Elephas maximus indicus: one gene and its partner. The protein of the gene in region 2 purifies or fractionates together with the protein of the main gene of each other region. This does not show direct contact. Links are inferred from orthologs where the notes say so. Each region holds a gene or a part of one and is shown on either strand. Other genes may lie near its edges.

Region 1 (7,473 bases), on a different chromosome or scaffold from region 2:
CCTGTAAAAACAGGAAAGGCACATCAGTGGGCCCCAAGCTTGGGGGGCCCCATCTGTGTACTTCCCATTCGAAGGGGCACACAGCATGAAAGCTGCTATGTCTGTGACTCAGGCATTAGCCCCATATCCTCCCCAGGCCCCACACCCCTTTTCAGGCAACAGCCCCGGCATGCAAGCTCAGGCACTTACCCAGGTAATCATCCATCAGGGAGCCAATAGCAAACTGCAAGAGGGGAGGTAAAATGGAAATGAAGCCAAGGAGAGCAAAAGCCCACCCCTACCTCCCAGCCCCAGGCCTTCTGCCCACCCATCATCCTCTCTTCCTGGCAGAAGAGCCCAGAAACCCCAGGCATTCTGGATGGTAAGAAATCAACAGCTCCCAGCTCTGCCCAGTACAGGCGGGGAGGCAGGCAAGAGACTCACTATGTCATTCTTGTCCACACGGGTCCCCACAATCTTCAGACGGATCTCATCATCCTGCTGAATCACAATGTCCTGGAGAGAGGGTAGAACAGTGTACTCCGGCCACCACCCCCAGGCCAATACCCTCCCTCAGGGTAGCTCCTTCTTGCCTCTCTTCTTTCACCGGCCTCTACCTACCCACTCACCTCATCCACTGTCTTGTAACACGGTGGGTTTGAGTTAGGATCAAACTCCATCTCTGATGGGATGGACTGAAAAGAAGGTCAGGCTGGGTCAGCAGTGTAAACAAAAGCTCCAATAGATAGTCATGAACAGATGTCTCTCCTCCTTAACCCCCCTCCACCCTCCACCAAGAGCCTAGACTTACATGTCGAGAGATGAAGCAGGACATGGGTCCAATTTCTGTGAAGAGTCCGACCTAAAAGCGAAATGAGCGGTCTTGCTTCTTATTTTGTTCCCCAAAGTCTCTTAAGGTTCCTGTCTTTATCTAATTCTTAATAATATTCATGTTTTTAAATCATTCTAAATTGTAGCATCTCTTTTCATTTCTTTTTTTTAATCTGTCACTTTAAATTAAACAAATATAGTGTAGTAATAAAGAACTTAGGCCTGGGTGGGCCTTGTCAGTCCTGGATTTGAACCAGAGCTTTGAACCAGTTAGGTCTGGTTCGAACCCCTGCTGGTAACATGCATTTCTAAACAAGCTCCCAGGAAGTTGTATGTAACAATCACCCGGGGATCTTGTTAAAATGTAGATTCTGATTCAGTATATCTGGGGTGGAAATGTACCAAACTGCCACTTGCTGGTCATGTGACTTTGGCCAGAACACTTAGCTTCCCTAAGACAGCTTCTATAAAAAGGGGGGGGTGGGTGGATAAAAACATCTCCCTTACAGGGTCAGGACAAGGCTTTGCACTTTACCAGCCCCCAGTAACTACTCAATCAACGTAAGCCACTATTGTAATAAAGTGTTAATATTGACTCACACGCCCCCAAATGAGGCAGTGTAAGATTGCCATTTCATTTGATGGATGAGAAAACTGAAGCAAAAAGAAGTGAAATGGCTTAGCCAAGGACACAGAGTGTGTAAGTGGAGTCAGCACCCAACTCAGATCTTCTGAGGGACCAGCCCACTGCCTCCCCAATGCGCGATCTCACCTTGTTGACCTGAGTGACCACGGCATCCACGACCTCCCCTTTAAAGGGGCGGAACACAATGGCCTTGTACTTAACAGGGTAAAGGACAAAGCCTCGGCCTGGCTGGATCACACCAGCACCAATATTGTCAATAGTGGTGACAGCAATTACAAAGCCGTACCTGCAAAGAGGATGAGAAAGGGACTGTGTGTGGAAGAGCATCCAAAGCCACCTGCAAACAGGTCATGGAGCCCAGGGAAGGGTGGGGCACAAAGTGGAAGTAGACACCACCCCTGTCCCCAGAGAGATTAAGGACTAGTAGGGAAGACTGGACAGAATCTGTAAGTCTCTTGGATTTCATGATAAATGCCCAAGCAAAATGTAGTCCTTTAGCCAACCGACCTCAAACTTTGGGATGCCTCAGCATCACCTGAGAGGGACTTGTTAAACTCCCAGGTCTGCCCCCAGAGAGTCTTGATTCTGTAGGGCCCAGATTGAGCCTTAGGAACCTGGATGTTCAAGAAGCACCCGAGATTATTCTCATGATGAAGGCCCAAGTACTCCACTGCCCTGGGCTCCATCCCAGCTCATTCACATCACCTTCTAAGAGGCCCCTCTGTGCAGAGCCCAAGGATGGACAAGTTCCAGCCCTCTCCTTCCTCCCCCAAACTCTCACTCTGCTTTTTCTGGATACTCATTCACTCAACAAACATCTACTGAGGCCAAACATGTGCCATGACAAGTCCCTAGGCATGGGAGGGAGGGAAAACCTGCAGAATTACAGAGAGGGAATAGATACAGGAAGGATGACTGGACTGTGAGCTCCATGAGAGCCAGCCTCAGTCTGTCTCAGTCACTGGGCCTGGCAACCAGCAGCAGCTGAAGAAATTGGGAAATAAATGACCCATCTCAGCTGAACTCTGCAAGTTCTGTTATCCACCTTTGCAGGGAGTGCCGTGAACCCAAACCAGGAGGCAACTGACTGCCTGGGACGCCTGGGAGGGTGAGAGGGCTTTCCAGAGTGGGAGGCAGGACGTTGCTGGAGATGAGCAGGGGTTACAAACACAGGGCACAGTGCGGGAGGCAATCAGGCGGCGCGAAGGTTGGGACACTCACTTCCCCGTGCAGGTCCCCTCTACCTCGGTGAACAGCTTCTGCTTCACCGTGTTGAGCAGGTTGGGGCCGAAGTAGCGCGGGTGCAGCAAGATCTCGTGCTCCAGGGAGATCTGGGGGGAAAGTGGGATGGTGACACAGAAAGCTGCGGTGGGGATACGGGGTGAGAAGCCGGCCCGGGCCCCCCGCGCCCAGCCTTGGCCCTCCTCCCGACCCAATCCACGCCCCCACCCCGCGCCCTGCTCACGTGGTAGAACATCTTATAGCTCCGTCTCCAACGGCAGTGGTACCGGCCACCCCGAGTCACCGGAAACGCACACACTGCCCCCCCAGCCTCGCTTCCGGGCTGCGGGGCGAGGTGGGCGGGACTTGGTCACTCCGTGGATCCGATTGGGCTTCGCAGTCGGCGGGGGGGGAGAGGATCCCTGAAGCTCCGCCCCCGCCCCGCCCACCAACCGAAAAGGGGCCATAAGCCGAAAAGCCCGTTGCTGTGGAGTCGGTTCTGACTCGTAACGACGAACTGCCGGACCTCCATAAATTAACAGTGCCTGGCCTTGGCTTGGCATATAATGAGGAGCCTTGGTGGCACAGTAGTTAAGAGGTCCACTGCTAACCAAAAGGTCGACAGTTCGGATTCACCTGTCTCTCCTTAACACCCTAGGGAGCAGTGCTACTCTGTCCTGTTGGGTCGCTATGAGTCGGAATTGACTCCACCCACAACAACAGGTTTGGGGTTTTTTACTGCCTATAATGGGGAGCCCTGGGGGAGCCCAGGTGGCGCAGTGGTTAAGAGCTCCGCTGCTAACCAAAAGGTAAGCAATTCAAATCCACCAGCCGATCCTTGGAAACTCTAAAGGGCAGTTCTACTTTGTCCTATAGGGTCACTATGAGTCGGAATCCAACCGAAGGCAGCGGGTTTGGCCTGTAATAGATGCTCAATAAGTTTTTTTTTTTATTATTATTAAATGCGTTAATTAGTGAAAGTCTATGCAAGTAAAGCGTCTTAGCAGAGTTCATTCAGCAAATATTTGAACATTGCTTTCACATTTAGTAGCTCTTATTTAATCTATACAGCAATCCCATATAGTAAAATGCAGCCATCATTAAAAATTAGATTATTTAAATTACTAATAATCCCCCAGGCGCTCCTTGGAAACCCTATGGGGCAGTTCTACTCTGTCCTGTAGGGTCGCTATGAGTTGGAATTGACTCGACGGCACTGGGTCTGGTCTGGTCTGGTCTGGTGGCGCAGGGGTTAAAGCGCTTGACTGCGAAGCGAAAGGTCTGCGGCTAGAACTCAACAGCAGCTCCTGGGAAGAATGATGGGGCAGTCAGCTACCTTAAAGATTACAGCCTTGGAAACCCTATAGGGCAGTTTTACTCTGTTCTACAGGGTCGCTATGAGTCGGAATCTACTCAATGGCAACACATAATAAATAAGTTATATTAAAAAGGAAATGTAGAGGTATAAATGGATCAAGTTTGGCAATATATTGATAATTATGGAAACTAGGTGATGGGCTGTCGTTGTTGTTAGGTGCCATGGAGTAGGTTCCAACTCATAGTGACCCCATGTACAACAGAGCAAAACACTGCCAAGTCCTGCACCATTCTCAAAATCATTGCTGTTTCAGCCCATTATTCCAGCCACTTTGTCAATCCATCTCACTGAGGGTATTCCTCTCTTTCACTGACCCTCCATTTTGTTATGTGCTTCTTCAGGGACTGGTACCTCCTGATAACATGTCCAAAGTATGTGAGATGAAGCCTCGCCATCCTTGTTTCAAATGAGCATTCTGGCTGTACGTCTTCCAAGACAGATTTGTTCATTCCTCTGGCAGTCCATGGTATAGTCAATATTTTTCACCAACACCATAATTCAAAGGCATCAATTCTTCTTCCGTCTTCCTTATTCATTGTCCAGTTTTCACATGCATATGAGGAGATTGAAAATACCATGGCATGGGCCAGGTGCACCTTAGTCCTTGAAATGACATCTTTGCTTTTTAACACTTTTTTGAAAAAGGTCTTTTGGAGCAGATTTGCCCAGTGCAATACATCATTTGATTTCTTGACTGCTGTTTCCATGGGCATTGATTGTGGATCCAAGTAAAATGAAATCCTTGACAACTTCAATCTTTTCTCCATTTATCATGATTTTGTTTATTGGTTCAGTTGTGAGGACTTTTGTTTTCTTTATGTTGAGATGTAATCCATACTGAAAGCTGTAGTCTTTGGTCTTCATCAGTACGTGCTTCACATTCTGTTGGCTTTCACCAGGCAAGGTTGTGTCATGTGCATATTGCAGGTTGTTAGTGAGTGTTTCTCCAACCCTGATGCCACATTCTTTTTCATATACTCCAGTTTCTTGGCTTATTTGCTTATCATACAGCTTGATTTTAAACCATGCAGTGTCCCTTTGTTCTACTCGAATGACTACCTCTTGGTCTATGTACAGGTTCCATATGAGCACAATAAAGCATTCTGGAATTCCCATTCTTCGCAGTGTTATCCATAATTTATGATCCATACAGTCAAATGCTTTTACATGGTCAATAAAACACAAGTAAACTTTCTGGTATTCTCTGCTTTCAGCCAAGATCCATCTGACATCAGCAATGATATCCCTCGTTACACATCCTCTGCCCTTCTTCCTGGTTCTGGGCTCCTCCTTCTGTTTTGCCAGATCTTCCAACAGCTAAAATAATCCTGCACCCAACTAAATCCTAGTCCTATTCCAACAACCATGAGGGCCACCTTGGGGAGACTCCAGGAAGACAAATCTATAGAGTGGTTAGGGGTGTTGCTTTGAATATAGATAAACCCACATCTCAGTCTCAGCTCTGCCTCTTATTAGCTGTGTGACCCTGGGCAAGTTACTTAACTGGGTGGAGCCTCAGTCTCTTCTGTCTGATGGAGATAAGAAAGAAGGACAATTATGGAATTAGAGAAGATTAAATCTTTAGCATATTGCCTAGCACTTAACCCGTTGCTGTCCAGTTGATTCTGACTCATAGCAACCCTATAGGACAGAGTAGAACTGCCCCATAGGGTTTCCGAAGCTGTAACCTTTGGGGGTAGACTACCACATCTTTCTCCCTAGGAGCTGCTGGTGGATTCGAAAGCTGACCTTTCAGTTAGCAGCCGAGCACTTAACCATTGTGCCACCAGAGCTCCTACTTAGCACTAAAGTACTAAGTAGTAGATACTTTTCTAACTTCTACTAATACACAGACTCTTAGAAGCAAAACTTTTTCAACTTTGTCCTGGGAGGAGTTTTGGAATTATAAGGAGGCTGCTGTAAGTATGAAGTTTAAATTTCAAATTTTCTCGTGACATAATCTATCGATGCTAGTTTTAAACATCCCCCCCACCCCACAAAAGCTTTTATTCAAAAAATATTTGACTGAATCATACTCTAGAGAAATGTGTCATGGTACCCTGTGGCTCTGTTTCCCTCAGGGTGGAGGTGCGTGTACCCCAGTTTTGAGAAGAAAAACCACCAAATTGTACACTGTTTAACAGGTCCTCTGGGGGTGTTACTGTTGTTAGTTGCCAGAGAGTAAATTCTGACACAGGGCAACCCCATGTATACAGAGTAGAACTGTACTCCATAGGGTTTTTTAAGACTGTGACCTTTCAGAAGCAGATTACCAGGCCTGTCTTCCAAAGTGCCTCTGGGGGGGTTCAAATCACCAACCTTTCAGATAGTAGTTGAGCACTGTGATGGTTAAGGTTGTGTGTCAACTTGGCTGGGCCATGATTCTCAGTGGTTCGCAGTTATGATGTTGTTGGGTAACTATGTAATGATGTAATCACCTCCATAATGAGAGCTGATGTAACATAATTACCTCCTTGATGAGATCTGCTATGAGCAATCAGTTGAGACGGAGTTTCCTTGGGGGTGTGGCCTGCATCCAATATATGTAGACTTTCTGGCAAAGCTCGCTGGCTTTTGCTCATGCTGGATCACGCAGCTGACTCCTGTTCATCTAACATCTGGTTCTTGGGACTTGAGCTAGCAGTTTACCTGCCAGTCTTGGAATTTATCAGCCTTCGCAGCCTGTGAGCCAGCAGCCTGCTGTCTGACCTGCCGATCTTGAGTTTGCCAGCCCCTGCAGTCACATGAGTCAGGAGAAGCTTCCAGCCTAACCCATGGACTTAGGACTTTCTAACCTCTACAGCCACATAAGCCATTTCCTTGATATAAATCTCTCTCTCCATATATATTGATACCCAAACCAAAACCAAACCCAGTGCTGTCAAGTCGATTCCAACTCATAGCGACCCTATAGGACAGAATAGAACTGCCCCCATAGAGTTTCCAAGGAGCGCCTGGCAGATTTGAACTGCCAACCTGTTGATTAGCAGCCATAGCACTTAACCACTACACCACCAGGGTTTCCTATATAGATACAGATATAGATATATAGATACGCTTCACTGGTTTTGCTTCTCTAGAAAACCTAAGCCTAAGACAAGCACTTAGCCATTTGCATCACCCAGGGACTCCTTCTTGGGGGTGAGAGGCACACAAATCTAGTGTACACTTGGCTTAGGCCAATAGACTGTATGGATCAGAAGAAATGTCTTTTTCTAATTTGTACAGAGGTAGCAGTATGTGCCAGAGCAGGACCTGGTTAAGAGAACTGTAATCTTTATAAAATATCTAGGTCCAGCATAATAGCCACCCCAGAGTACCAAGCATACAGTCCTTGTGCCCAACCTCAGCCTCCTCTTCATTCTGATCACTTCTGAACCTGTAGAAACATGATTGCTTATGCTTCCCAAACAGCCTG
Region 2 (7,154 bases):
TATGCTCATTCCAAATTGGTTGAACTAGTTGTTGAGCAAAGTATAAACAACTGGCTGACCAAAAATTTTCACTTGGGTGGTTGTTTTGACATCTAAAGAAAGTTTTACGGTAATTTTGGAAAAAAGCCTATGTATCTGCATTCAGGCTAGGATACAAAAACACCATTAAAATATGTTCATCTAAGACCATTCTGCACCAAACTACTTCATGAAGAACAAGAGACATTCGACTTAGAACTGAGCCCAAAGGAATAAATTAAGAATTCTTCCTAGGAAACTGGAAAGAAAGTAACACATCAGGAATAGAAGGCGCGTTTAAGTGAGAAACAGTGATTTCTGGAAGTCTGGTAAATATTTTGAAAGCAACTCAGAGTCAGTCAGTGAAAAACTTACATAAAGAAAATGACCATAAACAGAAATGTCCACTTCTTAAAGAATCAGGGTGGCCTAGAATCTAAAAGGCCAGTCAGTTTGAACATTAGAACAGAAAATCCTTTTCCACTTTAGTGTGAGGGCATTTTCAATTCACAAAGCAAGCCTGCGTATTAGGAAGTTGCATCTTGATGCCTGGATGGAGCTTCCTCTAGTTCTGCACTGTCCAATATGGTAGCCACAAGCCACATGTGGCTATTTGAGATGGACTGAAATGCTACCTAACACGATCCTGCTGAGGCAATACACGTTTGCCACATCTCAGCACAAGTTACATGAAGGAGGCTCTGGCAGCCCCAGGCTCTACCCCAGTGCCCAGAGGGCTGAGGGGATCCCGTACAGGCCATGATATTCTGGAGTCTCTGCTAGTAGGCTAGAACTGAGTCTGCTGGGGCCGGGGAGGCTCCAAAATTTGGGTTTTGGAGCTTGCCAACCTGACATAGTCTCACCAGCTCTAAGGCCTCGGAAATACCACTTAGCCACTCTGAGCTTCAGTTTCCTCATCTGTAAAGTGGGGAGATACCCTCCACCTCACAGGTAGTAGAGAACACAGGTAAAGTCACTTTCTCTGCTGTCTAGGCTGTCCAGTATAACTCTTAAGCGCCCGTACCATCTCCTCATCCTTCTGTTATGGCACTCACTGGGGTATCAGAGGTGTAGGTGTCCACCTTTCCCCACCAACTGTAAGCAACTTAAGACGAGGACTCTGCCTCACACTGAATAATCAACAGTCCCATCTCACCACAATTAACCAAATGCCTTCACTGTGTCTGACACCACACTAAATGCTCATCTGGATTATTTTGTTTACCGCTCACCACAAGTTGTTGTTTCAGCATCAGTTTTTCCTCATCTGCAAAGATCCTACTTTATTTAAAAAAAAAAAAAACAAACATTGCCACGGAGTCGATTCCAACTCATAGCAACCCTACAGGACTGAGTAGAACCACTCCAAAGGGTTTCCAAGGAGAGGATGGTAGATTCAAACTGCCTGCCTTTTTGGTTAGCAACCATAGCTCTTAACCACTGCGCCACCAAGCCACTTCCTACTTCATAACCCATCGCCGTCAAGTTGATTTCAACTCATTGGGACCATACAGGACAGAGAAGAACTGCCCCATAGGTTTCCAAGGAGTGGCTGGTAGATTTGAACTGCCAACCTTTTGGTTAACAGCCTAATCCTTAACCACTGTGCCACCAGGGCTCCTCCTACTTCATAGGACTCTGAGAATTAAGGAAACAGAGAGACAAGGAGGGTTAAGTTATTCGTATTAGTAAGTGGCAAAGCCAGGCTTAGATTCCAAGCTCTTAGGCTGTGGGGCTAACATACCGTCAAGTGCCCAACCCAGTACTAGGCTGAGCTCAGTGATCTTGAGCAGGGTCTGGAAACTATGGCAGCTGCATGAAAGGAGGGTCCTGAGAGGTAAGGGCTAGTGATGTGGCCCCTTAAACTCTCTAAAATGCTGTTCTGAGGACTGAGCACAAGGACATATATAAAGATCTTAGCATAGTGGCTGGCACAGAATAAAGGCTCTGTAAGTCACAGCTAAGCTTGCCTCCGTTTTATGGATGAGGAAATGAAGGCAAAGAGAGCCCAACATCACTCAGCTAGCAAGTGGTTGGGCCAGGCTCCATCTAGGCAGCTTGACTCCTGAGCCTGCCGACTGTTACTCTGAATGCCCAGCACAGAACCTGGCATATTTAACAGGCTGGCGCCAGTACCCTCCATCGGGCGCTGAAGGCAGCCGAGAAAGTAACATTTAAAAGTGTGAAGAAAATTCTGCGGGGGGAAAGGCTTAATGAACTGGGAGTCTGGGTAGCTGGGCCCTGGTCAGTGGGACCTCGGACAAATGCCTTACACTTTCCTGGGCCTCAGTTTCCCTCTCCGAGAAATGGGGATAACACTATCTCCAGCCTCAGAAGCCCGTGTCTGGAAGGCAAGACTCAATTAAGCAGTAGAGGAGCCTAGGGAGAAGGTGGGGGAGAGAACAATCCGGGATTGAGCCAAGGGGGCGGGGAAGGGGTGTTTACCTTTGCGGAGCTCGCGGTGCCACACCGAGACGATGGGCCCCGCGTGCTTGCGGTGGTGAATGAGCCACAGGGACAGGGTCTGCACGCTCTGCTGAGAGTTGCTCAGCTCCGAGAGCTTCTTCTCTAGAGCTGACTCGGAGAAGGAGGACATGGCGGCGACGGTGAGGGCCGGCAGGGAGCGGCCTGGGCCGCCCAGTGCGGCAGGAAGAGCGACGGCACGAGGCCGAGGCCTCACCTGACAGACTGCCGGACTCTTTACTGACTGACAGATGACTCGGGTGGTAGGTGGGAGGAGGGGATGGGTCACCGCAGTAACAGCCGCCCGCGCAGCCGCCACAAGATGGCCACCCGACCTCTCACCCCGCCGCGAGAGCAGGGTCAAGGGGCAAGAGCCGGAGTAGTTGGGCACCCAGAGGCGTCCGGAGCTGTAGAGAAAAGTCTTTCCAGGACCGGCAGCCTCTCCGAACGTTGCTCAGGGCACTTCGAAGGCGATAAACCCGGCGAGAGGAATCTGTTTCTCGGCTCCCGGAAGGCGCTGTAACCGCTCGCGCCCGTACGCCGGCGCACTGAGTACCGCCGGAACCCTGTCTCCCGCGCCCGCGGAACCTTTCTAGCGCTGTGCGGCGCATTCGTTATAACGTCACTTCCGTCGGGGCGGAGGAGGAGGGAGAGTAAGGGAAAGACTAGAAGACGAGGTAAGGGAAGAGGGGCGAGAGCCGCTGGGAGCCCAGCCGAGTGGGTTCCGGAGAGGGGCCTTGTGGGGACACCAAGGCTGAGGGATCATGGCCTAGGTATGGAGGGAGGGTTTCTTCTTTCACCCGCCAAGCCCCAGGCCGCACTTTCTCTCTGTACATGTCCAGCACTGTGACCGCCGCTTAAAAAGCTTTGATTCCTCCAAGCCACGCACGTGCGCTTTCACCCTTCCGCGCCTCGGCTTTTGTTTTTCTCTCTCCAAAGGTGACGCCGTCTTTCTCACCTACTCAGCCGCCAGGACCCACTCTTTAATGTCCGATTCTGTCCCTTTGTGACAGCACTGCCATGAAACACACCTTGTGCTCTCGACTTCTAATTGGTTGCTTCGTTTAGGCAGTTACAGGAAACCTTTGCCCACTGGGGTTCACCATCCAATTGACGTTTTTCAGCTTTAATATGTTAACCTTTGGTGGGGAAGGGAAATTATCTTACCTTCCCGCTGTGTCTGTCAGCCTCCTTTAAGAAACACTCTTCAAGAATTCTTACTCAATTTTTTTAAAGCTTTAAATTCCAGTGAAAGCAGCAAAGTAGTTTGTCTTTGTAATTACTCTGGGGGAGTAGAGAGGTTACTGCCTTAGTTATCTAGTGCTGCCATAACAGAAATACCGCAAGTAGATGACTTTAACAAGCAAATTTATTCTCTCACAATTCAGGAGGCTAGAAGTCTGAATTCAGGGCACCAACTCCAGGTTGGAAGGCTTTCTGTCTGTCAGCTCTGGGGTAAGGTCCTTGTCATCAATCTTCCTTTGGTGTAGGAGCGTCTTAGCACAAGGAACCCCAGTCCAAAGGACGTGCTTTGCTCCTAGCTCATCTTTCTTGATGGTAATGAGGTCCCTCTCTGCTCAATTCTCTCTTTTATATCTCAAAAGATTGACTCCAGATATAACCTAATCATGTAGATTGTGTCCTGCCTGGTTGACATAACTTCCTCCAATCCTATAGAGGTTAGGATTTACAACACATAGGATAATTACATCAGATCACAAAATGGAAGACAACCACATAATACAGGGACTCATAGCTTCGCTAAGTTGACACACATTTTGGGGGGACAAAATTCAATCTATAACAGTTATCATAGACATAGCAGAATTTTAAGGTTTTCCTTTTTTTTTAATTGTGTTTTAGATGAAGATTTAAGAACAAACTAGCTTCTTATTAAACAGTACACATGTTGTTTTGTGACATTCACTTACAACCCCACCACACCCTCTCTTTTCAACCTTGGGTTCCCTATTGTTACCTCCTGCCTTCTAATCGTTACCTCTGGGCTGGTGTGCCCCTTTGGTCTCGTTTTGTTTTATGGGCCTGTCTAATCTTTGACTGAAGGGTGAACCTCAGGAGTGACTTCGTTACTGACCTAAAAGGGTGTCCAGGTGCCATACTCTCAGGTTAAGGTTTTCTTGATCACCGTGGAACTTCACAGTTGTGGGCAGACCGCAGTTTAGGAGACTTTCTTCTAGTTGGTGCCTCTGTTTTTTGCTCTTACTGTCACTGTATTGTAGTTCTTTGCTTAAATGCCTTTATCCCTTTTCCATACTAAACATGTTGCTGTCGAGTTGATTCTGACTCAGTGACCTATAGGACAGAGTAGAACTGCCACTTAGGGTTTCCAGCCTGTAATTTTTTTTTTGTCCTTTAGATGAAGGCTTACAAAACAAATAAGTTTCTCATTAGACAGTACACATACTGTTTTATGACATTGGTTAACAACCCCACGACATGTTAACACTCTCCCTTCTCAACCTTAGGTTCCTTGTTACCAGGTTTCCTGTCCCCTCCTGCCTTTTAGTCCTTGCCCCTGGGCTGGTGTGCCCCTTTAGTCTTGTTTTGTTTTTATGGGCCTGTCCAATCTTTGGCAGAAGGGTGAATGTCAAGAATGTCTTCATTACTGAGCTGAGTTGAAAGCATGTCTGGGGGCCATACACTCAGGGTTTCTCCAGTCTCTGTCAGGCCAGTAAGTTTGGTCTTTCTTTTTGAGTTAAAATTTTATTCTATATTTTTCTCCAGCTCTGTTCGGGACCCTCTCTTGTGATCCCTGTCGGAGCAGTTAGTGACGGTAGCTGGGCACCATCTAGTTGTACTGGCCTCAGTCTAGTGGAGGCTGTGGTAGTTGTAGTCCCTTAGTCCTCTGGACTAATCTTTCCCTTGTTCCTTTAGTTTTCTTCATTCTTCCTTGCTCCGGAAGGGGTGAGACCAGTAGAATATCCTAAATGTTACAAGCCTGTAATCTTTATGGAAGCAGATTGCCGCATCTTTCTCCCACGGAGCAGCTGGTACATTCGAACCACCAACCCTTGGGTTATAGCAGCTGAGCTCGTAACCACTGCTCCACCAGGACTTTTTCTCCGGATTAGAATCATCATAATCGTACCTAACACTTAGTGAGCGCTTGCTGTGTGCCAGACACTGTGTTTACACATAGTAACTCATTTAATTCTCACAGTAAAGCTCTGAGGTAGGTATTGTATTATCCCCATTTTAAGTGACCTGCCCAAAATCACATAACTAAGATTTGAGGGTAGGGACTGCATTTTATCGATCCCTTTGTCCCCAGCACTTGAGTCATAGCTGATTGAATGAATTAATATAGAAGTGGGTAGCCTAAAATCAGACAGTAACTAGTCATAATTGTAAGCTAGGATTTTTGAATCCAAATCTATACACGATTCTATACTGTAACAATCACGTATTGAGAGCTTTTACACCAAGTCACTGTGTATTAAGTACATTACGTATATTTAATCCTTATAGCCTATAGGATGGGGTTATTATTTGATAAATGAGAAAACATAAAGCGTGGTTAAGTAACCCATCCGAGAGTACACAGCTAGGAAATGGCAGAGCCAAGAGTCAGATTAAGATTATCTGATGTGTGATCCCAGATTCTTCATTCCTGAGCCACTGGTTCATTCATTCATTCAGCAAATAAATTTTGAGCACCTATGTCTGAATCGGAAACCCTGGTGGCATAGTGGTTAAGTGCTACAGCTGCTAACCAAAGGTTTGTCAGTTCAAATCCACCAGGCGCTCCTTGGAAACCGTATGGGGCAATTCTACTCTGCCCTTTAGGGTCATTATGAGTTTGAATTGACTCAAAGCAGTGGGATTGGTTTTGGTTTAGAGGTGCATCAGAAGAAAGGCCTGTTGCTCTACTTTTGAAAAATCAACGATTGAAAACCCTATACAGCACAGTTCTACTCTGACACACGTGAGTTGCCATGAGTCCGAACTGACAGCAACTGGTACTGATAATAGTTAATATGGTTATTCAGGTATTCCATCTCATATTGTGTGAGTTATAGTAATTTGTATTTTTCAAGGAGTTTGCCCATTTGCTCTGTCTCTTAGTGGTCGGTTATGTGTATAAAGTTATTTATAGTATTCCCTTATCTTTTAGACATCTGGAAATGTCTTGATTTCCTCTTCATTTCTGATGAACATTTTTGCTGGGTATAGAATTCTGGATTGACAGTTTTTTTTTTTTTTGTTTAAGTACCTGAAAAATATTGTGCCACTTCCCTCTGGCCTAAATGATTTCTAATGATAAAAGTACTGTCATTCAAATTGTTTTGCCCCTATTAGATGTCATTTTTTTCTGGCTGCTTTCAGGACTTTGTCTTTAGTTTTCAGAAATTTAATTATGAAGTGTATTGATAGTGATTTCTGGGAGTTTATCCTGTTTGGGGCTCACAAATCTTCATGAATCTATAGGTTTACATCTCTTTCCAAATTTGGGAAGCTTTCAGCCATTTTTTCTTCAAGTACTTTTCTCAGCCAGCCTTCTTTTCTGCTCTGAGAACTCTTAGATCTTTCATTTGAGCCTCACGGGTCTTCGAGACTCTGCGTTTGTTTGGCTTTTCAGTTTATGTTTTCTGTCATGTTCAGATTGGGCAATCTCTATTGTTCTGTCTTCCAGTTCACTGATCCCTTCCACC

Evidence for each region. The genes of interacting proteins can lie anywhere in the genome.
Region 1: the proteins of RPRD1B (region 2) and POLR2G purify together in Homo sapiens (affinity purification with mass spectrometry; 3 studies listed by BioGRID and IntAct, counting the BioPlex papers as one, with this or other methods). This does not show direct contact. The link is inferred for Elephas maximus indicus from reciprocal best matches to the Homo sapiens genes RPRD1B and POLR2G.

The regions. Positions count from the first base shown.
Region 1 is NC_064825.1:125,918,417-125,925,889, reverse strand, and holds the start of POLR2G (DNA-directed RNA polymerase II subunit RPB7), read right to left. Parts: upstream 3,021-7,473; 5' UTR 2,934-3,020; coding exon 2,922-2,933; intron 2,788-2,921; coding exon 2,678-2,787; intron 1,743-2,677; coding exon 1,583-1,742; intron 842-1,582; coding exon 791-841; intron 675-790; coding exon 609-674; intron 496-608; coding exon 424-495; intron 224-423; coding exon 190-223; intron 2-189; coding exon 1-1. UniProt on the Homo sapiens protein: Core component of RNA polymerase II (Pol II), a DNA-dependent RNA polymerase which synthesizes mRNA precursors and many functional non-coding RNAs using the four ribonucleoside triphosphates as substrates.
Region 2 is NC_064843.1:31,483,655-31,490,808, forward strand, and holds the start of RPRD1B (regulation of nuclear pre-mRNA domain-containing protein 1B), read right to left. Parts: upstream 3,017-7,154; 5' UTR 2,615-3,016; coding exon 2,464-2,614; intron 1-2,463. UniProt on the Homo sapiens protein: Interacts with phosphorylated C-terminal heptapeptide repeat domain (CTD) of the largest RNA polymerase II subunit POLR2A, and participates in dephosphorylation of the CTD by RPAP2. Transcriptional regulator which enhances expression of CCND1.